4 linked regions of the Diceros bicornis minor genome follow. The main gene of each other region encodes a partner of the protein of the gene in region 4 in a complex. Links are inferred from orthologs where the notes say so. Each region holds a gene or a part of one and is shown on either strand. Other genes may lie near its edges.

Region 1 (7,723 bases), on a different chromosome or scaffold from region 4:
AGGTTCAATAACTTGCCTGCGATCACACACTGAGTAACAGTAGAGCTGGGATTTTATCCCAGGCGATCACTACCACTGCCATAGTAATAGACTATTCTTTCCAAAATTGGGCAATAAAGGAAGAAAGGGAAACATATTGAGTTGTTACTACACAACAGGTACATATCTTGAACTCCGAAACACAGGAAGAGCAGTAGCTTGAAAGACAAGTCATCTTTCATTGTTTTTTGTTTTGTATTAGGATTGGAGAAACATGAGAGTTGCACGCAGCATAGAGGAAAGAGGTACTAGAAAGAAAGATTAAAGCAACATTTCTCAACCTCAGGACTACTGACATTTTGGTCCTGAGAATTCTTTGCGCTGAAAGGCTGCCCCGTGTATTGCAGAACATTGAGCAGCATCCCTGTCTTCCACTCACTAGATGCCAGTAGCACCACTCCCTTCCCCCAGTTGTGACAACCAAAAATGTCTCCAGTTCATCACCAAATGTCCCCTGGGGGGACAAAACTGCCCCTGGTTGAGAACCACTGGATTAAAATAGGAAGCAATCATGGAGACAGCAAGTTCTAGAGGGTGGAATAGGACCCAAAGTGCAAACTTTAACATCTGTACAAAGTGGCAACAACTTTGTTAATGATCAAACACAAATTAATTACCTTTATGTCTGGATCTGACAGCTGATTCTTCAACAATTCAAAGTCATTTGTTTCACCCTTTATAAGAAGGGAAAAAAAATGAAGTTTTGCTTGCTTTGGTTTCCTGTTACAGTCAACAGCAAGACTTTTCACTATACCTTAACATCTGATGAAATTACAAAAGGAACACTGGAACTTTCACGTATCAACTGTGGACTATAAAAAATCATAAGTACAAAAATTTTAAAACTCATGTTGGTGGAGCCAGGGGGCTTGGAAAAAAGAAAATGACAACTAAAAGGCCATTCGTATTTAGGTATACCTGTGTACCGACATTTGAATATGACAGTCGATACTTTAAGATACTATCCATTCACGTATATGAATATAAATGCACATTACATACAAAAATAGACAGTCATTCATATTTTCCCTCCATTGCTGAGATTTAGTAGAATCACTTCAAAACTAACACAGAAACAAACCAAAAAAAATCCCTATTAACACAGCTGGTTTATTGTCCCAAAGTAATGTTTACGTAACTTCTTAAGAAATAAGATGCTCTGATCTCATGGCTTTTTATTATAGTACTTGCTCAAGTTTTTAAAAGATACTATGTAAATAAAGCACTTGAAGAGGTGAAACTTCAGTTATTACTCTAATTTTGAGCTGACAGCATCACACGGTTATTGAATATTTGACTTCAAGATTAATATCTAAAATTCATTTTATGGCGTCTACTCCTCTTTAGTATAACAGCTATAATTGTATTCTGACAAAAAAAGAAAACAAAAAAACCTCAATATGTCAATTATATCTCAGTAAAGCTGGGGGGGGAACCTAACATTTCTCACATGATCTCCTCTTACCTTTTTGTACTTCAGCAAGACTTCTGTCACAGTACCACCAAACCGAACGGTTTTTCTTGGAGGAGAATTGAAGAAATCATTCTCTAATGCAAGCATATCTGAAAGCCTGTAGAACCAAGATTATTAAGCTATTAAGTGCATGACAGAGAATAAGAAAAGTTATAACAGCCAACATTTATTGAACTAACATCAGTCAGTGGGACTACTGCTAAGGCCTCCTAACTGGCCTCCCTCCTTCCACTCTAATCCCCCAACAACCGATTCTTCATTCAGTGATCTAATGATCTTTCAAAACCTTAAGACAGACCGTGCTACTCTACTCCCCTGCTTAAACTCCCAAGATTTCCTGCTTCACTCAGAATACAAATCCAAACTCCTTACGGTAGTCTTCAAGGTTCTACATTAATATGGCACCTGCCTACCTCTCTGACCTCATCTCCAACCACTTACTATACTGCAGCCATGGGGGGGGGGGGTTGGTTCCCATTTCACTTGCTGTTTCCACTATCAGAAACACTCACTCCCCAGATCTATACATGGCTGGATTTTTGTCATTCAAGTTGAAGCTCAAATGTCAGAGGCCTTCCCCATCAGAAACCTAAAGTATCCATCTTCTCCCTCCCCGCTCCCGTCACCCTGTTTTATATCTTCACAGCAGTTATCAGTATCTGAAATCATCCTGTTCATTTACTTATTGGCCTATTTACTGTCTTTCCCTCCCTAGACTGCAAGCTCTGTTGAAAGCAGGGACTTTGTCTCTCTTGATAGACTACTGTCCCCAGTGACGAATACAGTAAGTAGGCGCTTAATAACCATTATGACTGATATCATGGTAAGTGTTTTACAAAGTTCGCTTCTTTTAAACAGAGCAGATTAGTGAAAAAACATAGCGTCCTACTAACGACTCTCAAAGTTAACCACAAAGTGTTTTATGGGGGTTAGGGGCTTTAAAAGTTGAGCAAGATAAAGACTGTTAAGTATGTGTGTCGAAACAAACCTCAAACAAAAAAAAAACTTAAGATTCAATTTGTCATCCGTGACAGCTGATGATGCAAACAGAGCAGCCCAGGCAACTCTTTTCAAATCTAGACGAAGAAGCGGGAGGAAACAGAAAAGGAGAATGCAGAAACCAGGCCTGGGACGCTATGAGGGAGCCCCGTGGGAGAAAAGGAGACTCTGGAACAGGGGATAGAATCATCTTCCCAGCCCCTCTCCCACCTTTATTACCCACATAAAGGACACGGGCTCACTCCTGAGAACCTGAGGTGACCCCTACCCTCCGCTCCACCCTACTCCATCAGCTCTGTCCCAGGCCCTTTCAGATCCGCTCCCTTAATCCCCGTCCCGGGCTTTGGTCCCAGACCCGCAGAAGGCAGCGGCCCGGACTCTTACCCAGATCTGGACGCGCTCAGCGCCTGGACGGCAGAGGTCGAAGCGGCAGCATCTCCAGGAAACCGCGTGTGAAGCAACGGGGCCGCCATTGGGCCGGAGAAGCGCACCGACTGCGCCTCGCGCCGGAACTCATGCCCCTTCTAGCCCCGCCTCTGGCCCGGAAGACGCGCGTGCGAGCGGAGGCCTCCAGCCAATCAGGAGCCCCACGTGGGAGAGCAGCGTGATCTCGGCGGGCTAGAGCGCCGCCAAAGCTGCCTCCTCCCCGCCCCACGTAAGGACCCCTCATTGTAGGTGGAGGAGTTTCTCCGCCCGGCGAGGTGCGGTGCTGAGGCCGGTGGAACTACACGGAGAAGAGAGATTCGGAGCCTGCCCTGAGGATCCCAGAGAAAGGGCGGGGACACCGGGGAAGCGCTAAGCGGTGGCTGGGTTTCTCTACTATTCATTTTTTGGAGTCAAAGCATCCCTCAGTCAAACTGAAGAAACGGAGTCCCGGTGATTAATCCAAACCCTCAGAGAGGTGGGGCCGGGATTCGAACACCTATCCTGGGTCTGTACCCACTGCACTGTCCTCACAGACACCCAAGCTGATCTTATCCTCACGGAGACTGAGGCTTGAGGAAGCGACTTACCCAAAAGCCTCAGAGCTGCGGTGATGCTGGGATGAGAAATCAAACAGCAGGGGACAGTTGCCAAGAGGCCTTAGCCCTTGAACTTAAATTTTTAACGGAGGTACAGGGGTGGGGCAGCCCAACAAAGCAGCGAAGGGTCTTCCAGGCATAGGGAAGAGCAGGTGCCATGGCATGGGGGGTGGGAAGGAGACATAGGGAAGGAGGGACTGACTTTCCCCTCAGTTTCTAAGAGGGGAAAATGTTGCAACCTTTGGAAACTGTATAGAACTACCAAAAGTACGTAAAACGTGGGGCCAGCCGGGTGGCGTAGTGTTTAAGTTCTCACCCTCTGCTTTGGCCGCCAGGGTTCGCAGGCTGGGATCTGGGCACGGACCTAGGCACCATTCATCAAGCCATGCTGTGGCAGGCGTCCCACATATAACATAGAGGAAGATGGGCACGGATGTTAGCTCAGGGCCAATCTTCCTCAGCAAAAAGAGGAGGATTGGCAACAGATGTCAGCTCAGGGCTAATCTTCCTCACAAAAAAAAAAAAAGAGAAAGAAAAAAAAAGTACATAAAACCAGCTACAGCAACTTGTGGGCCCCGCCCCTTCTTTCCTCACTGCTTTGGAGTTCTGGTGGAAGGTTGGGCAGAAACCATCAATGTCCTAAGAGCAGAGGAAATTGCGCCCTAGCTCACAAAGATACTTCAAGACAGCTGTTTAAGTTAGAATCTCTTCCCCCTCATCCCCAAAGCAAAGAGAAAAAAAATTAAATCACAATTCATCGGCACTCGCGTACACGGTCAGTAGAAGTTTAACTCTGTACTGTCAAGCAGTTTGACAATTACTTTATTCTTTCGTTTAAAAAAGGTCTGACGTGTACAAAAGAATATATGTTAATATAAGTTATAAAATGTAATAAAATGAACACGTGTGAGTGTACCACCCAATTTATGAAACAGAATATCAACCTGTACTATTGAAGCTTCCTCTGTGTTCTTCCCAGATCCCACCTTGTCCCTGCTTCCTCCTAGAGGTAATCACTATCCTGATTTTTTAAAATAATTTAAACTTTTCTTTATGTAATTGCCATATATATTCCTAAACAATATACTGTTTACTTTTGCTTGTCTTTCTTTCTTTTTTTTTTTTTTAAGATTTTATTTATTTTTTTCTCCCCAAAGCTCCAGTAGATAGTTGTATGTCATAGCTGCACATCCTTTTAGTTGCTGTATGTGGGACTCGGCCTCAGGATGGACGGAGAAGTGGTGCCTCGGTGCGCGCCCGGGATCCGAACCCGGGCCACCAGCATCGGAGCGCGCGCACTTAACCACCAAGCCACGGGGCCGGCCCTTTTGCTTGTCTTTCAGTGATAAAATTATTTCCATGCTGCATTATATTGCTGCTTATTTTCAATCAACATGATGCTTCTAGAATCTATCCCTGTTGTGTGTATTGTGTTTTATTTTCTCTGCCATCTAGCATTCCATTGTATAAATATACCATGGATTTATATATCCATTTTCCTGTTACAAATATTTAGATTATCACCCCTTACTATTATGTACATTGCTGTGAATATTCTTGTATAGTCTCCTGAATAATGTATGCAAGAATTTTTCTAGGGTAGGATTGTTGGCCTGGAGGGTACACAAGACACAAAGAACTTTCCAAAGTGGTTGTGCCAATATACACTCCCAGCAATATCTTCTCCTTAAGCTTGAGCACAGCACCTTCCTTATTTTCCCAAAGGACAGGTAAGACTAGGCTTCCATGTTAAAATTCTTTTTCAATAGGAGCAAGAGCATAATACAAGAAAAATCTTAAAACTAAATAGTATAATTCACTGTTGGCATTCTTTGGTCATGTCCCTTCATTGGGGATCCTCTACTCAGTCACCTGTTCCACGGGCCAGCTCATTTTGCCGTGATAAAAGCCTCCTTTATCCAGTCTTGCCTTCTCCAGAGTCCTGTCTCTTTTTGTCTCCAGCTCTAATCAAAGAAAATAAAGACCGCTCCTCCAAAAACAACAACAACAAAGCAAACAAGCATTGACACGCTGCCTGCAAAGATGCAGCCTTGCCCACAATGTAGTCATCCTTTGACATCACTGTGCACTGCAGTTGTCGGTAATTGTTCTGAGCTTCTTCATTCCAGAATGAATTTTTGCTTTACTCTCGTATACCCAGAAGACCCATTAAACTGTTTTTTCAAAAGAGCAGTCTTCCCCTAGAGATGAGTTTTATAATCATCCTTAGAGTAGTTCTGTTGGTTAAAGCCTCTTGGCTTGAAAGTAGCAGCAATTATCTCAAGCTAGCTTAAGCAGAAAAGGAGAATTTGTTCTAAGAATACAAGGATATCTTAAGATGCCAGAAAAGAATTTCTCATTGGCCGAGTTTGGGTCAGGTGCCCTCCTCTAACCCAATCTAGAGAGGTGAAGTTATATTGTACCAAATGGCTTTCAATGAATCTTTGCTGTAGATGAGAGGGTCACTATTCACGCTTAATAAATGTTTTTCAAATGGGTGAATGATAAGGAAGATCCAGATCAACAATTTCTAAATAGCAAAACCAATAGTAGACATCCCATTTGCTCCTTTCCCCTTTCCAAAAAGAATCAACAATTATTTTGCCTCAATTATCTTTATAAAAACTCCATTCATTAATGCAAGATCTCAACTGTATATCTTTAATATGTATAATCATATATAAAATACATAATCTCTGGCCTCTACCCACTAGATGATAGTAGCATTCCTTTCCTCCCCATTGTGACAAGCAAAAATGTCTCCAGATATTGCCAAATGTCCCCTGGGGAACAATATTGCCAAAATTAAGAACCACTGGTATAAAGTATGGCCTTAGTAAACTTTTAGTCTAATTGAAGACACAAAACATATCTGAAACGATTAGAGAACAAAAAAGTAAAATGACATACAAAATTACATTGTAAACAGTCATAAAATTTCCATTTTTGCCTGTAATATTCTTGGGGGAACATAGGAAAAAAAATCACTTACCGCTTTATTCTGTTGGAAAACAATGGTGGTAATATACAAGAGCCTCATGTGTTCAATGTTTTTCATATTTTTATCAGAAGATGCTACAGAGAAAACTACCTTAATTTTCCCCCCAAATTCCTCAGAATGCAACTGTATCTAACTGAAATTGTGAATCAATAACATGTTTTCTATGGTTTTATTGGCACAATTTCAGAAATCAGCTTTTTCTGTCTTTCTAATTGGTCTTTGGTTGGTAGGGGCCACCTAACCTCAGTTTTATCTTTGCCTACAGGCTTTTGATCTAATAGTAGTTAACATCTACATTCATCTATTCAACAAATATTTATTGAACACCTAGGTACCAGGCCGTGTGCTAGACACTGGGGATACGTGGTCAGCAAATAACAATAATGGTCCTTGGCTTCATGGAGCTTGCCATCTAGTGAGAAAAACAGACATTGATTAAACGTAAATTTACAAATGAATTAAGTCCTTTGAAGGAGATCACACAGTGCTGTGTGGTTCTATGATGGGCAGAATTTACCTCTTAAGGAGCTTAAGGAAGTTTCCTTGAGAAAGTGATAACAGTTGAAATCTAAGAAACACTAAGGGTGAAGGGGTCAGGAGGCTGTGAGGGGAGAGTGCTTTGAAAGCAGGGAGAAAAGTATGTATAAGACCCCATGGCAAGAATAGAAAAGGGGATATCTCTTAGGATTTTAGTTTATCAGTCCAGGGTTGAGTGATAGTCATTTAGAGGAGGGCAGTGGTGGCTGAGATGAAGAGGATCAACTGAGAAAACAGCCAAAATGGGAATGCTGAAATAAATGGATGATTGTCTGGGAATCCTTTTGAAATGCAAATACTCATTCCTTTTCCTTCTTTATATTCAAATTACTCTGTATTAGTCCTTTTGCAAAGCAGGACACAAAGGTACAGAAAATCGAAGCTGAGAGGATATTGAGTTTCAGAAGAAGTAATACTGAACATCAATTCACCATGGTATAATCTGATAATGGTACTGGAAATTTTTCTCCACACTAAATCATTTAACTATAGTATGGTAAATACGTACTGTAGGATACAAAAGCACGTTAAGAAGGAAGAATGGCATGGTAGAAAGAGCATTAGGCCGAGAGCAGTATACCTTGATCTAGCTCACAGTGAAACTAGCAGCTCACCCCTTTCAGCCCAACTCAGAAATAAGAACCAGAGAAA
Region 2 (6,957 bases), on a different chromosome or scaffold from region 4:
GGTGGTGGTAAATGGAATTATACTGTGGTAAGGCTCCTTTATTTTATGTGAAGTATCACAATTTTAACTCCAAGTAGACTGTGATAATTTAAGAATGCATATCATAATTCCTAGAAACACTGCTAAAACAATAATGCAAAGAGATATAGCTAAAAGCTAACAGAGGAATTAAAACGGAATACCAAAACATTTGATTAATCCCAAAAATGGCAGGAAGTGAAGAATAGAGGAACAAAAAACTAATGGGACAAATTGGAAACAAATAGAAAAATGATAGACTTAAATTCAAAAATATCAATTATTATAATTCATATAAATGAATAAAACACACCAATTAAAAGATAGTGATTGTCAGATTGGATTAAAAATATGTGGCTCCAACTAATTATTGTCAACAAGGGAAGTACATTAAATAAAAAACACAGATAGGTTGAAAGTAGAAAAATGGAAAAAGATATACCCCACAAACAGTAAGCTGAGAACATGGCTGTGACTATATTAATATCAAACAAACTCATTCAAGATAAAGAGTTTTATCAGAGATATAAAGGATATTTATAATGATAAAATGGTTATTTCATCAGGAAGATATAAGAACCACAAATGTTTGTGTGTTCAATAACAAAGCTTCAAAATATGTGAAGGAAAGCTGACAAAACTAAAGAAAGAGACAAATTCACAAACATAGTTTGCCATTTTAACACGCCTACCTCAGTAATTAATAGTAAGTGTTCATACGGTGATATGAAAAATCAGTAACAATGCAGAAGATCTGAACAAAACTAACAACCACCTTAACCTCATTGACATTGGTAAAACATGACACTCAACAGCTGTAGAACACACATTCTTTTCTAGTGTCCACGGAACATTTACCAAAATAGACTATACTTTGGGCAATAAAGTAAGTCTCTGAAATTTTTAAAATCTTGACATCTCACAGAGTTTGTTTTCTGACTGCAGCATAAATAAACTGGTAATGTCTAACAAGATCGACTGATGAAGAAAAAAAGATGGAAGATGCAAATGATCAATTCAGTGTTTCAGTTTTCTATTGCTGTGTAACAAACTACTCCAAAATTTAGTGGCTTAGAACAACCACCATTTTGTTACTCACCATATTGTGAATCAGGAATTTGTACCGGGCTTGGTGAGAATAGTTTACCTCTGCCCCTGTGTTGTCAACTGTACTCACTTATGCGGCTGCATTTAGCCAGTGACTGATTTGGGAGACAAGATCTGAGAAGGACTTCCTCACACATGTGGAATTAAGATGCTGACTGTCCTCTTCATGTGGCATCTCTCTGTGTGGTGTTTCATCCTCCAGGGACTCTTTTTTCCTGCAGCCTCTCTCTCCCCAGTAGGATAGCCTGGACTTCTTTGCAGAGTAGCTCAGGGCACCAAACGGGCAAAAAAAATGAAGTTGTACCTTTGAGGCCATAGTTTTTCCTCAAGTCTGGGGTGGGGTCCTAGTCCACGTATTTGGGGGAGTTTATAGTTGGATAATATTTTTCTCTATATTGTTATGTGACCTGTTTTGTTCTTATGCTTTCATTTTGCCATATTCCTTTTTTATCTTGTTCATATTATTAGCTGTGATATAGTATAGTCTACTTACGATGATGTCTTTCCAATTGTTTGGTTGTCTGAAGCTTGTTCTCTATTAGACTGCAGGGAATCTAATAAAGGGTTTATGGGAATAATTGAAGGGTTCATGGGAATAATATTCTCTAAATAACAGTTTGCAGTTTTTTTAAAAAACGTAATTCAACATCATATTAAGTTACTCTTTAGCACAATGCAATTGTAAGAACATCTTTGTTCCTTAGGATATGTTTTCTTCTAGATCAGAGTCTAGAAAGTCTTCTGCATGCATTGTTTTATGTTTGCATTTTTGTCAGACTATTTCCTTTTTTTAAATCTTATTTATGCTATTCCATGTGATATAGTATAATCATTTTCTTTTTACTCTCTTCTCCCTAACGCACTTTTTACCAGAATTGTACCATGGAAAAGAGAAGAGGTAGGTAGAGCATATAAAGATATTAGTTCTTAACTTTCTCTCTTTAGATTTATCTACCATTGCCCACAGTTGCCTGAGAACGTTAAGGTAAATCAGAAATTTCTTCCCCATTTTTGTGAGAGCATGAATTTCTAGCCACATAAAATCAGTTCTGGATTGGTTTTGGTGAAATCACACCTCATACCTTCCCATAGCAAGGCGAGCAATGTGCCCAGATCAAACCTCTAGACTAGAAGCTTATGGCTGTTATTTTGTGTGTGTGCCCTCCTGGACATTATCATTTAGGTCAGCCTTGCCTGTGGAATTAGAGTACAGGCTTGAGTGAGGCCAAGGACTTATGACACAAGGATCAGCCAAAGGAATTTTTCCTGCAAGCCCATAGCTACTGCATAGTATTTATCAAGACAACATAGAATCAAGTATTTGCAGCATTTTAAGGAGTCGCTGTACAAACTTTTATTAGACCCTTTAATCTCCTCTACAACACTCTGATTCTGCTCAAATGGTTCACTTTCAGGGTAGAGGAAATCCAAAGATTCATGTGGGAGCCTGTGCCGTTATTTGCGCAGCCTTATTTACGAACAAAATTCTTGTAATGACTTTACGCTGTTTCCCTTTAACTTTACCTACTTAGTCCTAGTTCTATTCTCTGATTCTATGAAAAAATAGTCTTACCCTTCTTTCACAGATCAACTCCACAAATTTTGGAGATACATATTATGTTCGCATGTGTCTCTGCTTTCCCAGGATCATCTTTCCTAGACCTCCTCAACTTGCCCTCATTTCACATTTAATCATCTTACTTTCGACTCCTATTTCACAGAAGTTTGGCAATTCGTTATGAAAAGTCACCCCACACGGATCCACGGAACCATCCCCCGAGAAGGAAAAAGGTATGCTTGTCCAAATTTTGGGCAGGCAGTCAGAGTCACTTAAATTCAAAGCTAGCTTTTCTTCTGTGCCAGTCGCTGTGCCAGGGGAGGTCATGTTCCTGCCATCTTGATTCTTTCTCGCTGGCTGAAACTCAGCCATGGGAAATATGAGTTGGCATGTAAGAACAAGATCCAAAGCTGCAGGAAGAAAACATGATCGAGAGTCTTCTCAGCCAGTTGAACCTGTGGTTGCTCAGCAGCCCAGTGATGAACAACCTCAACTAGAGGAACCACCAACTGAGAGTCAGGATATTATACCTGCTCAGGACATTGATGATGAAGGAGCACCTTCAGTTCACGGGCCTGATGTGGAAACTGATCAACAGGAACTGACCCTGTTGAAGACTGTGGATGAGCCTGGAGAAGGTCCTGATGTCGAGGAAGAGATTCTACCACATCTAGAGCCCATTAAAATGCCAGAAGCAGGTAAAGGACAACCACAAATTTTCAAGCATGCTGTCCTTACGGTGGAAATTTGAGAGTTAATCTCTGAATAAAGTTTTACAACTTTCTTCAAATAAAAAAAAATTCAAAGCTAAAACTTTAATAAAAGAGAAAAAACATTTCAAGGAAGCAGTTAGGCTATGTAACGATTTATCTTGTCAGGACCGCCAGCCACGCCTCCGAGGCTCGCGCAGTGCAACCCTGAGCCAAGCAGGAACGGAAAGGTCATCGTACAGTGAATTACTCGGGTAAAGTGACATTCTGCTTTTTTGACCATTCCTCTCTTCCAGGTGCCCTCACTCCCATCTTCATTTGCAGTTAAACTCTCCTATTTTGCGGCTGCGACAGACTAAGTCACAAACCTGGAGCCATCCCAAAGCGAGGGCGACAGTCAACGGTCACTTCCGGGTCACTTCCGGGGTCGAGGCGCGGACAGCCACGCCTCCACCGCGGAAGGAGGAGTTAGGGGCGGGGCTGCGTCTGCGCACCGCAGGGACGCCCGAGGCAGATTTTGCGCATGCTCACGGGAAGCACTCGCTAACTTCGCTTCCGGGGAAGGGTTCCTCACGTTGCTTCTGGAGTCGGGACCTAGAGTTTAATGTTACAGAAGAGCTCCGGCTTTAGGCAGGTAAGTGCATTCACAGTGGAACGGGAAGGGCTGTGCTAGGATTCACCTGTGTTCCTTCTGCTATCTTCTCTTGATGCTCTGAAACCTCGAGGTCCGAGAACTGGGCAGAAGGGGTGGAGAAGCTTTGGTTACCGTGGCAACCGCGTGACATCAATTTAGTCTTTGAGACTTTGGGAAGGGAGAGCTCCTTATGGAACGACGTCTTAAAATACATGTGGGTCGGTTGCAGATTCAGGTGTTATTTCAAGCCCACGCTCCTAACCCTAGCATTTGATTTTAAAAGGTTTACGTGGCTGTAATGTGGAGAAGCAAAATTCGAAGCAGGGTAACCAGAGAGAAAGCTAAAGCAGTAATCTAGACCCAGTTTGAAGGTGTCCTGAACTGGGGTAGTGACGTAGGATTGCGGAGAAGAGGGAAGACTGGAGAAGTGCTAGCAGGTAGTATCAGCAGGACCTCGTAATCCATTGGATATGGGGCCCTGAGTATCTTGAGGATCAAGTCCAGACTCAGCTTGGAAAATGGCTGTCTTTCTAGATTCCTTTCCCGCCGTCAGTTCTGCCTTCTGCCGCCTCCTCCACGCAGACCCCAGACTCTATTCATGCCAGGTAGTTTCGTGTTCTAGTTCCTATAATATTGTTCTCTCCTTTCTTGTGACGGTGGACCAGGTCACATAATTTCACTAATCTCTCAGTTTTTTCGACATGAAAATGGAAGAAAATAATAGTACTTTCCTTAGGATTTCTGTAAGGATTAAATTAGATAATTTATATGCCTGGTGTGTAGAACAGGCCCAATAAATGTTAACTCCTATTATTATTATTGGACTTACTTGTCCTATTATTTTGTTATTATGCGTCATTTTGCGTCATTTTGCTCTAGACTTGAGTATTTTTTTAATTAAAAGGTTAGTATCTATCTTTGTATGTTCTTGAAATATAATAGTAGTTAAGTTTTTTTTTTTTTGAATGGATCATTATTTTTGGCTGTAGCTGACATAATTAAATTGGTTTTTTTCTTCGAGGGAACTACTAGGTACAGTTAATTTTGTTAATCAAATGATATTTATTAGGTAAAAAGATGGTTTTTTTTTCCTGTAGAACTCAGAAGCCTGTGGATTAAGATGTACAGAGAGTAATTGATATTCTCAGTTTGGAATAGGTATGAGTGATTTCAGTGAAGAATTGATAAAGTCTGTAACAGAGGATGACCGGCGGGAAACCTGTGAGCTCTCCGGTACAGGAATGCAACTTCCTTGGCTCCAAAAGCATATAGAAACTGTGGGTAAGTAAAATAACATATAACCGTTTTAACTTGAACGCGCGGAGATGATGAGATTCAGTATGGTTACAAAAATGAATAACTAAGCTGGTTCAGTTTTCAAGATAGGAATATATGAGGTTTTTTTAAGGCTGTAAGCAAAAAAGAAATCATAAAAATATGCTTCTTTTTTTTCAGAATTCTTCTCCTTTGAATTAAGAACAGATAGTCTGTATTATGGTAGATACACATTCTTTTTTCCAGCAGTACTTACTGAGCACTTATGTCCCTGGCATTGGCTAAATATTTGAGATACATGGATGAAGAAGATATGGTCTCTGCCATTGAGGAGTACATACCTAGGAGGTGTTTTCAAGAAGTTTCTGTTGAACTGCATTGAAATAATTCCTAATAGAATTCATGTATAATATGTTTCAAAAAAAGAAATTTTCCCCCATTTTCATCTAATGTAAATAGAAGCAAGTTTTTCTATGGGATCAACTCCCTATCTGAATATATAAAAGAAGCAGTTATCTGTATGTTGGCATTTTGGGTGGTGTAGTCCTAGGAATACATGTGAACCAGCACTTTTCTTATTAGCCTCAAATACATCTTCTTAGTCTAGCCTTCTTTCCCCTTGACTGAGATTCCTTGGCTCCTAGAATTTAGCTCCTTTATCTTCTTCTTTCAACTAAGTATCATCTCATTTTATTATCTCAGTAAATTAATCCTCAGTAAATCTATGTGCTAGGCCATTTTGGAGATGAGGAAACTGAATCTCAGCGAAGTTAAACTCTAAATGTTGGTACCAGGAGTCAAACCCAGGTCTATCTGATCTCAAAGGCTGAACTTTTAGTGACTGCGATATATAAAAAAATGGGATAATATATATAAAGTGCCTAGCACAGAGCCTTGTGTGTAGTGAGTGTTGAAAAAATAATGGTTTCTTTCTTCTCTTCTCATTTTATTTTTGCTATATTAATGCACATGGTTTAAGCCAGGTTTGAATGGATTGTACTTTAGAGAGAATAGTACTTCACTCCTTGTAGGGAAGTAGTAATCTAAAGTTCCTGCTAGTTAAGGCATCCCTGGGCTTGTTTCTGTCACCAGTGTCTACAGAGAGCTTGAGTCAGTCCAGAAGCAAATAGGTTAAAGACCAGAATTTACGTGCTTAGGAGTGTTTTGTAGATTATGGATAGCCTGTTAAACTCCAAATACTTTATGCCTGCAATGAGAAGATAGTTGCAGGTAATACTGGCATTGTAGTGATAATTAACCATAATAGGAAAACACAATTGCCTAACAATTATTTATTTTTTATTTTGATAGATACCTTTTGGCATTTGGAAGGATGTGCCCCCTAGAATAAAAACTTTGAAGACATGAGCGAGTTGGGAATCAAGCTGTATGTTGAGTACCTAGAATAGTGCTTGGTGCATGGTAGTGCTCAAAAAATATTTGAGACTGACCGACGAGTTTCCAGATTCTTTCAAGGGCATTAGAAATTAGGTTTATGACACCGTCTTTATTGTATTTCATTCCATCAAAATGTATTTTCCGGGGGCTGGCCCGGTGTCGTAGCGGTTGAGTTTGCACGCTCCGCCTCGGTGGCCCAGGGTTCACAGGTTTGGATCCTGGGCTCGGACTGACGCAATGCTTATCAAGCCATGCTG
Region 3 (7,799 bases), on a different chromosome or scaffold from region 4:
CAGACCCCTCTGTCTAAAATAGCAACTCCCACCCCCAGCCTTCCACTCATCTACTCTCTATCTTCATCTTCTGCCTTCTTTTTCTTCCTGGCAGTTTTTTGGCCATCTGACATATTTTACAATTGTTGATTTATGTATTTATCATATGTCTCTCCCAGCTAGCATGTAAGCTTCACAAGGTAGGGAAAAAACACTGTTTTTGTTCATTGCTTTATTCCCTGTGCTTAAAAAGTGCCTGGGAAGTGTAGGTGCTCATTTGTCTAACGCATGAAAAAGTAACTGCTTTTTTGGAAGAAGTTTATGCTATGGAGAGAGCATTTTGAGACAGATGTTTGCAAATGTTTCCATTGGTATGAAAACACTTGGTTCTCTGTATCTTTTTCTGTTATGAGCGCCATTAAAAAGAAATATTATAGTAAATTGAATTCAGGACAAGAACTACAAATCACTGTATCACAGTGTTAAGCCAAGATTTTTAAAAATAGTGAACTCTTTAATTGCATAATTGTTACTAATATTTTCATTGAAAGGAAAGTTATTTATATTAACAAATAATAAATTATTTAAATTTTATTTATCTTATCATCTTAATATTTACATTATGAGTGTCCTATCATATACATCACTGGAACAGTCCTGCATGTATATAATTTATACAAAAATACATACCTGCATAATGGGGATGTGAGCTCAAAATTTTTTTCTGATATGTTGTTATCTAGAGGAGGGAATGTGGGCAGGACTTGGGTGGGTGGTTTTCTGTTCCACCTAGCATCAGCTGAGGTCATTCACTAGCCTGGGAGGTCCAAGAACGTTTCATTCACATGTCTGACACTTCAGTTCTTTATGGAGCTTCTCCAGTATGCATGGCTAGCTTGGGCTTCCTCACAGTATGTTTGTCTTAAGGTAGTTGGACTTCTTGCCATGGCAGCTGGCTTTCAGGAAGACACATTTGAAGAAGAGCAAAAGCTGCAAAGACATTGCTTGGAAGTTATAAAATATCGTTGAAGCAGCATTCCATTGCTCAAAGCTGGTCACAAGACCATTGCAGATTCAAGGAGCAGGGGAAATGGACCTCATCTTTCAATGGGAAGAGTGACAAAGAATTTAAGTCCATTTTAAATCCACCACAGGCTTCTTTTGCACATATGGTATTTGTGAGATTCATCCAAGTTGCTGTATGTAGTAGTTATTCATTCTTTCTCATTACTGTATAGTATTCCACTATATGACTATATCACAATTTGCTTATCCATTCTCCTATTGATGAACATTTGGTTGTAATTTTTGGCTATTATAAGAAAGCTTTATAAAAGTAACTGTGCATATCTTCTGGTGAACATATGTACTAATTTCTGTTGGGTATATATATCTAGGAGTAGAATTGTTGGGTCATAATTAGCATTACTTCCAAATAGTTTTCCAAAATACTTCTACCAATTTATACCCTCAGCAATGCAGAAGAGATCCAGTTTATCCATATTCTTGCCAAACCTTGATATTGTCCATCTTTTTAACTTTAGCTGCTCTGTTGGATGTGCAGTGGCATCTCACTGTGGTTTTAATTTGCATCTTTCTGATGAGTCACGACGTTGAGCACTTTTTCATATATTTATTGATCTTTTAACTCTCCTCTTTTGTGAAACAGCTGTTCAAGTCTTTTGCCTATTTTTTATTGGATTGTTTGTTATTTTTATTGATTTCTTGAATTTATTGAAATTTATTGGTTTATTGAAATGTATTGATTTATTGAATCCTTTATTTGTGGATATGTGTTTTGTTGAATACATGTATTGTGAATATCTTCTCTCAGTCTTTAGTTTGCCTTAACAATGTCTTTTGATGAATTGAAGTTCTTAATTTAAATGAAGTCTAATTTAACAAACTTTTCTTTCTTTGATAGTGTTTCGTGACCTATTTAGGAAATCTATGCTATTTCAAGTCATAAAGATATTTACCTATTTTTTTCCTAGAAGCTTTAGGTTTTACCTATTACATGTGGGGCTATGATCCATTTCAAACTAATTTTTGTGTATGGTGTGACGTAGGGGTCAATATTTTTTTCATATGAACTTCCAATTGATCTAGATTCATTTATTGAAAAACTATCCTTTCCCCACTGAATTTTAGTAGCACCTTGATTGTAAATCGAGTTATCTTACGTGTATTTACAGGTCAGTTTCTGGACTTTCTATTCTGTTCCAATGATCTATTGGTCTGTCCTTGCACCATACTATCTGGATTACCATTTGATTTATATATTTTTAAATGTTAAACCAACCTTGCATTCCTAGAATAAACCCAACTTGGTTTTCATTTATTATCCTATTTACATGTTGCTGAATACAACAAAGGACTTGCATTCAATTTGCCAATATTTTGTTTGGAACTTTTGCATCTATGTTTCTGAGAGAGAATGGGCTTTAATTTTTACTTTTCTTGAAATATCCTCACCAGGTTTTGGTGTCACAGTTACGCTAGCTTCATAAGACGTATTGGTGTATGCTCTCTCTTTTTCCATTATTTGGAAGAGTCTGTGTAAGACAGGTATTATTTCTTTCTTAAATGTTTGGTAGAATTTACCAGTTTTACCTCCTTTGAGATTGAGGTTTTCTCTGTGAGAAGGTTTTTATACACAAAGTTATTTCTTAAATAGATATAGGATTGTTCAGACTTTCTACTTCTTCTTGCATACCTTTTGATAACTTGCATTCTTTTAGGAATTTGTCCATCTCATCAAAATTTTTAAATTTATTGGCCTTGAGTTATTGACAGGGGTGAGTAATGGTTAGTGCTGGGCTCTGTGTCTGTCACTGAAGAGGTGTGGAACTTTGGGTATATTAACTGCTTGTCCATAATAGTAGTGCTGGGGTCCTTGCTATGGTTAGGTCCTCTTGCTAGGCTTGAAGGGCTAAATACATCTCTTTCTGATTTACACATTCTTTCTTTAGATATATTAATACCTTCAATCAGGCTTTGGTGTTCAATCAGATCTTGGCCCAGTTGCACACAGCCAAGCCTGGTAAGTGACATGGGTGACACAACTAGAGAAGAGCATTTATCTAGTGCCATGATAAAATAATGAGACTAATTGCTCCACTGGCCTGGGTGCCTCTTGAAGGCAGGGACTCTGCCCTGTTTATCTCTCATTTCCTGATTGCTGGCACAGTGCCTGGCATATAGTGGGTATTTAAGGACTTTGTGAAATAAATTAATTAACAAGTGAATAAGGAGTGAGTGAATAAAGAGCCACTCCCTTGGTGATCTCATCTAGTGACTTTAAAAACCATCTAGACAAAGATAACTCCCAAATGTATATCTCTAGTTCAGAATTTGCCTCTGAACTCTAGACTCCTATATCCAAATGCCTTCTTATTCTACCTGGCTGTCTTAGAAGCATCTCTACCTTAACATGTCCAAAATCAAACTCCTGATTCTCCCTCTACCCCACTGCCAAACTGTTCCACCCACAGTCTGCCCTTATTAGGTCAATGATAGCTCCACCCTTCCAGTTGCTCAGGCAAAAATCTTGAAGTCATCCTCGACTCCTTTCTTTCTCTTACAGCCCACTTCTTGTCCATGAAGACATCCTTTTGGCTCTACCTCCAAAATCTGTATTTCCAGGAACCATGTACTTCTCACTGTCTCCACTGCTTTTACCTGGTTCAAGCTACCATTATAGCTTGTCTAGATTATTGTAATAGTCTTCTGATTCATCTCCCAACTTCTACCTTGGACCACTATCATTCTATTCTCCCCACAACAGCCAGACTGATCTGTCAAACAAAAGTCAGATGACGTAACTCCTCCAATGTCTTCCCCCATTTCTCCAAGTTAGTAAAGTCCTTACAACCATATTTTGCCCCGACCTCATTTTCTACTCTCCCTTTAGCTCATGTTCCAGCCCCTCACTGACCTCCTTGCTGATCCTTAAATAACATGGCATAAGGTTCAGGACTAGGGCCTTGGAACTTACTGTTCCCTCCACCTGGAATGATGTTCCCAACATGGCTCTTGCTCCTTTGCCTCAAAGGTCAGTTTGTCAGTGAGACCTTTCTTGACCACCCCATTTAAAATGGAAACCACCGTTAGCTCCCATTGTCCTTTCCTGCTTTTCTCCTTGGCCCTCATGCCCGTTTATCATACATATATTTTCCTTATTTATTTTTGTCTCTCCCCACCAGAATATACTCTCCATGAAGGCTGGGACTCTTGTTGACTCTGTTCACTGCTGAATCCCCAGGACCTAAAACAGCGCCCGTTTAATGAATAAATCAAGGAATGAATGTGCCCAATGAAGGAACAATAATAAAGGCTAAAATGAGTGAGCACTTACTACGTGAGGCTCAACGATAAGGGACTCACAGGTAATATCTGATTGTCACAGAGGAGGCACCTGAGGCACAAGGAAGCAGAAGAGCCGTGAGAGGACACCCAGGTTTAACTCAGCAACCTGTGTTCTCCCCTCCAGCACCGCGCGCCTCCCCGGGGCTATCAGAAGCCCGCGGGAAGGGGAGAGCCCGAGCCCTCCACGCCGCCTCCCTGCAGCCTAACAGAGCAAGGGAGTCTCGGAATGAACGCCGTCAGAGGGGCGTGATTGAATCAGCTCAGCCTTAGGCACCGCCCAGTTTCTCACTGGCTGGTTTTAGTAACCTCGACTAGAAAGGGATGCAGTCTGGGAGGGGGATGCAGAATTTGCGGAGCTTTGCCCCCGGAGCCAGCAGAGGCTTTCCCGGGGCCGCAGGCGCCCGGAATCCAAAGTCAGGGTCTCCGTTTCCGTCCGGAGGGCTCCTCCCGGCGCTCCCGGAAGCTGGGCTCGTGCCGGGTAACGGGCCCGGGCGGCGGCGCCGTTATGGACCTGGAGGAGGCGGTGAGGGGGCAGCGCGCCGGGCGGGCCGACAGCGGGGCGGGGGGAAGTGAGGCCGAGGAGCAGCGGGCGGAGGACGCCGGCTGGCTGTGGGGGCCGCGGTCCCGAGGGGGCGGGGCGGGGAAAGGGAGGGCGCTGGCGCGCGCGTGTGCGCGCGGGTTTGGGACCCAGGCTGGAGTGTGCGGCGGGGGCGGGTGTGGGTGAGGGGAGCGTGCAGGTGTGTTTCCGGAGGAGGAGGGCTCCGTGGGGTGGCCACCCACACGGCTCATCCTCTCTCGACGGGACCCCGGGGTTCCCTTGGATGCTGGGTGGGCGAGGGAGCGCTGGGGCTGGGGCCGGCCTGCCCCCGAGCGCCCCCGCCGGTCCCTGCGAGTCCTCGCCGCGGGCTGGCGCAAGGATGCCCAGTGGGGTCTGGGGGCACGCCGAGGTAATGATGGCTGTCACAACAGGTTGATGAAAACTTGACCAACTTGTCGGAGTAAATTTGACATTCATTTTTGCCGTGCTGCATAAGATGCCTCACTCTGGGGTGTTAAAGGAGTGTTCGGTGATTAGATCAATGATGATGTCAAACACCAAAGAGCTAGGAGTCAGTAATTTAGTGCCAGGCTGTGTGTGTGCAGAAGGGCTTACTCCCCCAGCCCCTGTTAAGTGCCTGGTACCTGCGAAGCTGATGCTCCTTACGCTGCTGAATGAATAAATCGAAACTCGAAACAACCCTGATAAAAATCTGGGTCTTTTGTGGTGAGTGTGTGTCTTTAGTGTCCTGGAGGAAGTTCCGAATGGTAGGCTATTTCTGTTTTTTAAATCTTCTCTATACGTAAATCTTGTCGTCTTTTTCCCTCACGGCATTTTCAAGGAGTTTTATTTACTCATCTTTTTTTCCATTTTACCCCCACCACCGTTTCTTCTTTTTTTCCCTCACACACTGCATGTTTTAGAAACATTTCTTTAACAGTTTAATTTGGTTTCAAACTGCTCAAAGACTGAACTGCTGTTCTCCTTGTTTGTTGATAATGTCTCTGATACATTTTCTATTTCCTATGATTTTTTATTTATAGAGTAAAATTGCGGGGAACCCTATGAGTAGCATTGCAGGGTTTAGGTGCGATGTATTGAATGTGGTTTTCCTTTTCTCCTGTAGAAAGAGTTCAAAGAGCGCTGCGCTCAGTGTGCTGCTGTCTCCTGGGGTCTTACTGATGAAGGCAAATACTATTGCACTTCTTGCCACAATGTTACAGAAGTGAGTAACAGATCTCATTTATGAATTTGCTTATGTTTTAAAAATTGCTATTTCAGCCCAATATGTGCCATAATTCCCAAAGAATTGATCTGTTTTTATCACTTATGCAATGCCCAAATTCCAAGAACGTAAGCCATCTTCCAAGTGCTTACACAAGAGTTAGGGAATTTGTAGGTTAGATTTAGGATGAATTTTCGAAAGTATGTTGGGCCACATATTTAAATGATTTCCTGATTCAGACTGTATAGTCCAAGGTGAAATAATTAAAATTATACTTAGAAGATGATTTATTTCTTTTTATTAGTTAATACTTATTAAGAATTTTTAGTGTGTTGTGGTAGCTTAAAGGTTTGGAAAATGGAATGTTAGAAAGACTGAAGATTATTGGGAGTATTGAAAATACGTTTCATTATCGTTTTACATTTGTACAGCACCTCACAGATTACAGAGTGTTTTCTTGGCCATTATTTTGTTTCCTCCTCTTAACAACCTGTGAGATATACTATTTTTTTTTTTTTTTGAGGAAGCTCAGCCCTGAGCTCACATCCATGCTAATTTTCCTCTCCTTGCTGAGGAAGACTGGCCCTGAGCCAACATCTACTTCGAATCCTCCTCCTTTTTTTTTCCCTTTTCCCCTTTTTTTCTCCCCAAAGCCCCAGTAGAGAGCCACATGTCATAGTTGCACATCCTTCCAGTTGCTGCACGTGGGACGCCGCCTCAGCATGGCCAGGCAAGCGGTGTGTCGGTGCGCGCCCAGGATCCAAACCCGGGCTGCCAGTGGCAGAGCGTGTGCACCCAACCGCCAAGCCGCTGGGCCGGCCCCTTAGATATACTATTATGCCTATCCATAGATGGGGCAGGCAGGCCTCATGAGTTCAGTGAGCTTGCCAAAGTCACACAAGTGTAAAGTGTTGAGCCGGGGCTTGAACCTGAGTCTTCTGATTCCAGTGTTCATTTTACCCCATCACACCTGCTTCTTAAAGCAGAGATTGTCATACTGTCCTGTGTAACCTTGGTAAATGAAGCTACCGTCACGCTGGGAGTGCTAGGTCCTGTTCTGGTTACCACACCTTCAGGGCAGTATAACCGAAATAATCAAGGGTGTGGACGACCTGCTATTGGACAGACTAAACGTGCCAGGACTCTTCTCTCTGGAAAAGGATTTGCTCAAAATCTGCAGATCCAGGAGGGAACAAATATTACCTTCACCGTATAGGCTGAAGGAAGGCAAATTTGGGACAGATAAAAGTAACTGTGTAGACTTCTGCTTCTGGCCAAGATGGAGTAACAGGAACCAGGTTTACCTCTCACCTTAAACAACTATAAACCTGGACAAAATATATGAAACAAAAAAAATTTTTTCTTGAGAAAAGTGGTTAATTTAGCTTCCAGCTCAATCACACAAGAGCTGTTTGAGACAATCGTTGTCTTCAGTCTACAGTGGAAGTTTTTATGTCTGCTTCTCATTTAGTTGCACAGAATATTAAAATGATAAGTACTCACGCAATGAAATCATTGGAGTGATGGGTATGTTCATTTCCTTGATTATGGTGATGGTTTCATGGGTACACACGCACACACACACACACACACACAATCAAACTGTATACTTTAAATATGTGCAGTTTGATCTTTTCTGCTTTGATGCATGTTAAGGCACTAGCAGTGTTACTCACTATTGCTTTTGCT
Region 4 (7,682 bases):
CTCTATTTGTATGTAGGATGCCCCACAGCATGGCTTGATGAGCAGTGTGTGGGTCAGTGCCCGGGATCCAAACCTGCAAACCCCAGGCTGCTGAAGCAGAGTGTGTGAACTTAACCACTACGCCACCGGGCTGGCCCCTAAACTGGATTTTATTAAAATAAAAAACTTCTGCTCCGTGTAATACAGTGTCAAGAGAATGAGAAGACAAGCCACAGACTGAGAGAAAATATTTGCAAAAGACACATCTGATAACCGACCGCTATCGAGAATATACAAAGAACACTTAAAACTCAACAATAAGAAAACCAACAACCTGATTGAAAAATAGGCAAAAGACCTGAACAGACATCTCACCAAAAGATATACAGATGGCAACTAAACATATGGAAAGATATTCAACATGATATGCCATTAAGAAATTGAAAATTAAAACAATGAGATAACATTACACACCTATTAGAATGGCCAAAATCCAAAAACACTGACAACACCATTTGGAAAAATCTATTAATGTCCAATATATTTATATTCTATGATACAGGAATTCCACTCCTGGAAATATACCCAGGAGGAATGAATGCATATATCCACCAAAAGATATGCACAAGAATGTTTGAAGCAGCTTTATTCATAACAGTCAAAAACTGGAAACAACCCAAATGCCCATTAGAAGTAGAAAGGATAGGGGCCGGCCCGGTAGCAAAGCGATTAAGTTTGCACACTCCGCTTCTGTGGCCAGGGGTTCACAGGTTTGATCCAGGCGTGGACACACGCACCACTCATCAAGCCATGCTGTGGCAGCGTCCCCTATAAACTAGAGGAAGATGGGCATGGTTGTTAGCCCAGGGCCAATCTTCCTCAGCAAAAAGAGGAGGATTGGCAACGGATGTTAGCTCAGGGCTAATCTTCCTCACAAAAAAAAAAAAGAAGGAGAAGGAGAAGTAGAGAGGATAAATTGTGGTATATTTGTACAATGGAATACTACATAGCAATGAAAAGAAATGAACCACTACTACATGCAACATTATAAATTAATCTCAGGCATAATGTTGAGTAAAAGAGGGCAGATGTAAAAGAGTACATACTGTGTAATTCCATGTACATGAACTCCAAAAACAGGCTAAATTTATCTATGGCAATAGAACTCAGAATAGTGGTGACATTTGGAGGGGAATATTGACTTTGAGTGAGCTAGATGCTAGAAATATTCAATATCTCCATCTGGGTGGTGGTTACATGGTATATATATGTAACATGTATAATATGTATACATTTATAAACATTCATTAAGCCGTACACTTAAGATATGTGCACTTCATTATCCGTAAATTATACCTCAGTTAAAAAGAAAAAATAAATAAGGGACAGTAGATCCAAAAAAAAAAAAGAGGAAGAAGTCTTTATGTCACTATCTTTTTTTATTTTCCTAGATATAGTGCATATTTATTGTAGGATTTGTGTAGGTAACCATCTAACATACATAAAACTGTGCCACCATTTTTATTAGGCTCTTATCTTTTTAAAATTATTTTATTAAAGTCACATTGGCTTATAATATTGTGTAAATTTCAGGTATACATTTATTTTTTTTTTTTTGGTGTACTTTTTTTTTTTTTTGCAGGGGAAGATTTGCCCTAAGCTAACATCTGTTGCCAATCTTCCTCCTTTTTTTCCCTCCCTCAAAGCCCCAGTACATAGTTGTGTATAGTTGTAAGCTCCTCTGATTCTTCTACGTGAGCTGCTGCCACAGCATGGCTACTGACAGACGAGTGGTGTGGTTCCGCACGGGAACTGAATCCGGGTGGCAGCAGTGGAGCCATCAAACTTTAACTACTAAGCCATCAGGGCTGGTTCCGCGTGTATATTATTACATATTTTATGTCACTATCTTAAGTAAAAATTTTAAAAGAACATTTCCAATACACATTAAAATACATAACTTTGAAAATAATATGTTGATCTGTATACCATCTAAAATTACTCCATGAACACCAGGAATTCAAGTACTACACTTTGGTTAATACATTCCAGGCACACTAGGGGTTTTATAGGAGTTGGTGCTGGAGTACTGGCAGCCCAGGGAAGGGCCGGAGCCAAGTGGAGAGTTTGTAGCTAGGATTATACCCTGTCACCAGCCTGGGCTGGGGTTGTGGAATGCTGAGGTTCTGCTTCAAGGCACAGGGCAGAAAACTGGAAGGGAAAGGCGGATGAATTGGGAGGGGGGCAAAGAAAAAGGACCAAGGGCCGATTCCCTCATGCTCTGGCCCACAGCCGGAGTCCTAGACTCCTGACCTCACCAGAAACACAATACATGTAAAACAAGTCAATAGGTTTCCAAGCGGGAAGAGTGCCAGCCATGATTTTTGCTGCCCGAAGAATGAAAAAAAATCAATAACAATCTTTCTTATGATTCATGTTCATCCCTTTTTATTCCAAAGCATTTTACCGAAAGGCGTCTTGGCCCAGCCAAGAAGCTCAGGGCCAGGAGCCAGGACACCCGGACTCCAGATCTGTGTGTGGAAGATTTGGAACTTTCTTGGGGTCTAAGTTTCTCCCACTGTAATTGTGGCAAGTGACATTGCGGAGTATTTTACATTTTACATACATCATCTCACTTGACCTTCAGACTCCTGAGGAAAGCAGAGAACATAGGATTGCTGTTCTAATTTTATAGACAAGGAAACTAGGATTAGGTGAGGTTAAGAAACTTGATCTCACTCACACACTATTAAGAAGGCGGGGAAGCTGATAGGCTGGGAAGCTGGGATTTCTGACTCCAAACCCTCTGCTGTTTCCTAGTCAATACAAGAAAGTCGCCCCGGGGGCCGGCCCGGAGGCACAAGCGGTTAAGTGGGCGTGCTCCACTGCGGCGGCCCGGCATTCACCGGTTAGGATCCTGGGTGCCCACCGAAGCTCCGCTTGGCAAGCCATGCTGTGGTGGCGTCCCATATAAAGTGGAGGAAGATGGGCAGATATTAGCCCAGGGCCAGCCTTCCTCAGCAAAAAAGAAAGAGGAGGATTGGCAGATGTTAGCTCAGGGGCCAATCTTCCTCAAAAAAAAAAAAAAGAAAGAAAGAAAATCGCTCCCTGCTCTGCTCTAAGTACAGAGCAAGATAGCTTGATCCTACACAAAATGCCTTGTGTATGTTCCAAGGGCAGGGCTGGGTTTGTGGGGCCGAAACTTGTACAACCGTGCGGGGGGTGGGGGCACGGACGGTCGGGGACGGGACATGAGGTCGCGGACTGGACATGACACTCTTTAACAAAAATAATGTCAAGTGATGAATCAAAATGAAGTACAGGGCCTCGGACAGGTCCTGAAAATGAAGGGCCCTGAAGCTTCATTAGCGTCAAGGTAAATCAGCTTCTCCTACATGCCCTGCCCACAGAAAAATCCGGACACACCAGATCCTGACAGGCTTTTCTTCCCTATTTGTGAAACGTGGCAGATGCAGGCTGTGGAAATCCTGGGAAAGGAATCTCATTTCTCCCAGGAGACAAGAGGAATTACAGCAGCAGCGAGGCCGTTGTGTGAGGATGAAGGTTGTGTGCCAGGGGAGAGTCCAAAGGGGCTGGTGACCCAGCTGGCCGAGTTGTGGGCGGGAGCAGTGTTAGTGTGGGAGACTGGCCGCCTGGGAGCCAGGAGCAATGGCGCTGCCCGAGGAGCGATGGCCCGAACTAGGCTCGCCTGTTGGAAGCAGGCGTTCTTCAGACTGGCTTCTGGCTCGCTGCGTCCTGATAACCCTTCCTCTATGGAGGGGAGGCAGAAACAGACAACCACAGCCGGCGGTAGTGGGAGGGTAGATGGAGGTCCCCGCCCAGGCCTTTCGATCGCCGGCTCGCAGGGTCGTGGAGTGCCGGAGGCCTACGCCGAAGCTGCCCCGCTGCGGCTGCGGCGGCGAGGCCCGAGTGCCAGGCTCCGCGCGCGGCTCTCCGCCGCCGCCGGGGGTGGGGGGCAGCGCCCGCGGCCTGCTTTCCCAGGGCTGGTGGAGCCTTTTTGACACGCTGATTGCGTGGCAGGGATTGGCTGGTCCGGGCGTGACGCCGGTAACAACAAAGGTGGAGTTGGAAGAAATTAGATTAAAGGAGAGGGGAAAAAAAAAAAAAGAATTAAAGGGGGAACTGGCAGGGGACAGGAGGCAGAGACCGAGCGGGAGATGAGCGAAGCGCGGTCTCCGGCTTCGACTTCGCCCCGGAAGCCCCTTCCCGCAAACCCACCAGGATTTGGCTCTCCGCCCCCACCCCGGCCGGCCCAGCTAACGAAGCCGGGGTGGGAGGGATGGCTGGTGCTTCTTGAGAAATTCCCCCAACTCCCACCCTGACACCCCTTGCTACCGGCCAGGGGGAGAACTTTTTGCTCGGACCCCTCGGATTCCAAACCCGGCGGAGGTGAGCGGCTGAGAAGGAGAGGCTTGCTCTAAAACCCGGAAGGCCCTCGCGGGGCCCCGAGATCGGACGAGGCGGGGTGCTCCCCCGGTTTTTCAATGTGTTGCAAATCTAAGAGCTTCTTTCTTGCTTTTTTTTGTAACACTCCCCAAAGTCCCCCCCCCCCGCTTTGGCTTCAGGGTTGCAAAAGCAAAGAGCAATAAAAAAAAAAAAAACCGCGCACACACTCAGACACACACCAGTGGCGACAAGGGAGAGTTGGGAAGACGCAGGAGAGAAGCAGGAGGCAGGAGGCAGCGGGGAGGGAGCAATGGGAGCGGGAAGCAGGCAGGTTCCCTCGCAAATCCCTCTCCGGCCCCACGTCGCCTCGCCGGCCCCGGCAGGGGAGCAAAGAGCCAGGCGAGCAGATGGAGGAGTGGAGCTCGCTTTAGGCAGCGGGCTTGGCCGGAGAATGGAGGAGCCGCCAAGCGACCGGCTGATTGGAAGAGAAACGCAGAGCGATGGAGGCGGGGGTAGGAGGAAGATTTCTCTGCGGGGACTGGCGGCGGCGTATACGCCCGGGTCGGGCGCTGCAGAGCTTGGCTAGCTTTCAACCCGCGCTCGCCGGCTCCAGCCCCGCGCGCCCCCACCCCCAGCCCTCCCGGCGGCTCCGCAGGTGAGTGCGAGCTGGGGGCAAAACGACCCAAAAGTCTCAACACGCCCGCCCTGCCAAAAAAAAAAAAAAAAAAGAAAGAAAAGCATTTTTCTTTTTTTATTTTCGTGCAGCCCCCAGCGCGGTGGGAGGGAAGGGGTGAGGCTGAGCCGCCCGGAGGAGGCGGAGGGGCCAGGCGAGGCCGGGGTGGCCCGGGAGGCGGCGGCGCCGAGGCGGCTCTGACGGGCGAGCGCTCGGAGCGGCGCTGCGCTGCGCCGAGGCGGGCGGGCGGAGCGGGGCGGGCGGAGCGCGGCGCGTGGGGCTCGCCATTAGCCGTCGCTCCGCTTCGCCATCTCGGGCTTTGTCTGGCGACTCGCTGCCCCGGCGTCGGCTGCGGCGGAGCTGCGGCTCGGCTCTTCGGCCCGCAGCACCCCTAGGTGCCCCTGGCCCGCGCTCCCATTCACACGCTCGGTAAGTGAGCCCCGGCGCCGCGGATTTCGGGGGAGAGGGGTTGCTGCGAGTAGCGGCAGCGCCGATCTCCATGCGCCCTGGCAGGCCTGGGGAGCCATGCCGGGCTGGATTGAACCGGCTCCCAGAGAGCTCCTCTGCCGGAGCCCGTCGCCCCCTTGCCGTTTCCGGGGTGTAAAAAGCGAAGGGGACTTTTTTTTTAATTTGCAGGGAAGGCATTTTGTAGAGGTGGTGTTTTTTTTTTTAAGTTTCGTGTGTGTGCTGTTTGGCAGCGAGGAGACCGCGAGGTAGGCGCCGAAGCTTGGCGCCGCGATCGGCGTGCCTGAGCCCCAAGCCGGTGGCCACGCTCCGGGGAAGAGTGTGGGCGCGGACCGCCCGCTCCGGGAGGCGGGAGAGATCTGGCATGGAAACCCGATTCTGAACTGGGAGGACTTGGGGGAGAGCTCCGGAGCAGGGCTACAGACACCCCCTGAGTCTCCCCGGCCACCGGGGGGCCCCTTCGGGCACCCTCTCTGCGGCCGCGCCTCGCGCTCTCCCTCCCGCGCCGGCCGAGCCTGCTAGTTCCCCCGCGGGTCTGGCGAGGTCGCTCTCGGCGCCCGCCCGCCCGCCTCGGCTCCGAGCCCCGCCGCCATCCGGGCGGCTGCGTGTCTCCCTGCCCCGGCCCCCCCTTCCCGGCAGCAGCAGCAGCAGCCGCCGCCGCCGCCACCGCCACCACCACCACCACCACCACCACCACCACCCCCCTCCCCTCCTTCCTTCCCTCCGCCTCGGCCGCCCGGGTCCCCCCAGCTCCCGCCCCTCCTCCCAGCTGCCCCCCGCGGAGCCCGCCCGGGCAGGCTGTGGGAGGGAGCGGAGCCGGCGAGGCGGGCGGGCTGGCGCTCGCTCCCCGGGGGTCGGTGTGCGCTCTACGGGGAAGGACGCGCTCGCTGCCCCGCTTCTCCCGCCCCCCCTCCCGCTCCTCCTCCTCCCTTCTCCCTCCTCCTCCCCGCTCCGGCGGCGGAGGCTGCGGCGGCGGCGGGGGGTGTGCGAGCTGAGGCCGGGGCCGGCGGGCGGGCGGCGGGCGGGCTGCCTGCAGGCGGAGGGCGCTGTGCTTTGTGCTTTTCGCCGCGAGGAGCAGCAGGCAGCAGCCACAGCCGCCGCCGCCACAGCAGCAGCAGCCGCCGCCCCAGCGCCGCCGCCGCGCCCGGAGGAGGAGCCGCTGCCGCCGCGGGAGGGAGCTGCGGCTGTGCCCGGCCGAGCGGGGGAGGGCGCCGCCGCTCAGAGCCGGGGAGGGAGCCGCCGGAGCGGGAAGGCCGGAGGCCGCGCTGCGCCGGGTAACCGAGGTGGCTGAGAACGCGCGCCGGGGTCGGGTGGCGGGGAGCGAACCGCGGGTGCGGTAGCCGCCAGGAGGGGACCCGGGGTGACCTCCGGGCAGAGGACTGGGCGAGAGAGAACCAGGGCACTGGAGAGGACGCCGAGAGCCGGGGGAGGGGAGGGCAGGAAGCGAGGCCCGAGCCGAACCCCGGCCGCAGGCGGAGGAGCCCGCGCTTCTCCGAGCCGCCAGACGCAGTTCTCGCCGGCCGCCGGAGGGGGCGGCGGGGCCGGTGAGCGCTGCTCCCCCGCCTCCCGGCCGTCGTCCTCCCACCCTCTCCTTGGCTCTGCTCCCCGGAGGCCGGGGCGGGGGCGCCGGCAGGGCTGGGCCGCAAGCTCAGGGGAGGAGGCGGCGGTTCCCGCCGTGGTCGCGCTTCTGCGCCGGGCTCCTCCGTGCGCGTCGGGGTGGCTGGGCGGTGGCGACGCTTCTGGCCGGGGTGGGTGGCTCGGGGGCGGGGGCCAGGCTAGGCCGCTTCTCTCCGGCTGCTTGCCCGCCCGGGCGGGCGGGGACGGCGTCGGGAGCCCGAGAGGGGGGGCGGCGGGAGTCCGGATCCGGTCCCCGGGGGCGGCGCGGCCGCTGCGCTCCGGGGCCGGCGGCGGCTGCGCTGCGTCCGGGTCCCCGCCGGGTTGCGGAGGCGGGGGGAATCGGCCGGGGGGGAGGCGGGAGGAGGAGACTGCGGCGCGTGCCCGCTTCCGCGGCCGCGCGCGCCCTTTACCCGCCCTTCCTCCTCCCCCTTCTTCCAGCCTGGGGCCTCCCCGGGGCGGGCTCACAGAGGAGGAGGAGGAGGAGGAGTTTTTTTTTTTTTTTTTTTTTTTTTGGCTAGGGTGGGGGAAGGAGGGTGGAGGG

Evidence for each region.
Region 1: UBTF (region 4) and RRN3 share a complex: the UniProt entries of both Homo sapiens proteins name them as parts of the pol I pre-initiation complex. The link is inferred for Diceros bicornis minor from reciprocal best matches to the Homo sapiens genes UBTF and RRN3.
Region 2: UBTF (region 4) and TAF1A share a complex: the UniProt entries of both Homo sapiens proteins name them as parts of the pol I pre-initiation complex. The link is inferred for Diceros bicornis minor from reciprocal best matches to the Homo sapiens genes UBTF and TAF1A.
Region 3: UBTF (region 4) and TAF1B share a complex: the UniProt entries of both Homo sapiens proteins name them as parts of the pol I pre-initiation complex. The link is inferred for Diceros bicornis minor from reciprocal best matches to the Homo sapiens genes UBTF and TAF1B.

Annotation. Positions count from the first base shown.
Region 1 is NC_080765.1:35,622,143-35,629,865, forward strand, and holds the start of RRN3 (RNA polymerase I-specific transcription initiation factor RRN3), read right to left. Parts: upstream 3,018-7,723; 5' UTR 2,986-3,017; coding exon 2,897-2,985; intron 1,611-2,896; coding exon 1,505-1,610; intron 714-1,504; coding exon 657-713; intron 1-656. UniProt on the Homo sapiens protein: Required for efficient transcription initiation by RNA polymerase I (Pol I). Required for the formation of the competent pre-initiation complex (PIC).
Region 2 is NC_080777.1:10,820,537-10,827,493, forward strand, and holds the start of TAF1A (TATA box-binding protein-associated factor RNA polymerase I subunit A), read left to right. Parts: upstream 1-3,938; 5' UTR 3,939-3,997; coding exon 3,998-4,027; intron 4,028-4,561; exon of another isoform or gene 4,562-4,632; intron 4,633-5,124; exon of another isoform or gene 5,125-5,175; coding exon 5,176-5,308; intron 5,309-6,957. Other genes in the region: putative G antigen family E member 3, read left to right, coding at 3,054-3,434. UniProt on the Homo sapiens protein: Component of the transcription factor SL1/TIF-IB complex, which is involved in the assembly of the PIC (pre-initiation complex) during RNA polymerase I-dependent transcription.
Region 3 is NC_080751.1:70,279,232-70,287,030, reverse strand, and holds the start of TAF1B (TATA box-binding protein-associated factor RNA polymerase I subunit B), read left to right. Parts: upstream 1-4,787; 5' UTR 4,788-4,852; coding exon 4,853-4,870; intron 4,871-6,011; coding exon 6,012-6,110; intron 6,111-7,799. UniProt on the Homo sapiens protein: Component of RNA polymerase I core factor complex that acts as a GTF2B/TFIIB-like factor and plays a key role in multiple steps during transcription initiation such as pre-initiation complex (PIC) assembly and postpolymerase recruitment events in polymerase I (Pol I) transcription.
Region 4 is NC_080757.1:42,828,062-42,835,743, reverse strand, and holds the start of UBTF (nucleolar transcription factor 1), read left to right. Parts: upstream 1-4,681; 5' UTR 4,682-5,041; intron 5,042-5,470; exon of another isoform or gene 5,471-5,488; intron 5,489-6,612; exon of another isoform or gene 6,613-6,807; intron 6,808-7,682. UniProt on the Homo sapiens protein: Recognizes the ribosomal RNA gene promoter and activates transcription mediated by RNA polymerase I (Pol I) through cooperative interactions with the transcription factor SL1/TIF-IB complex.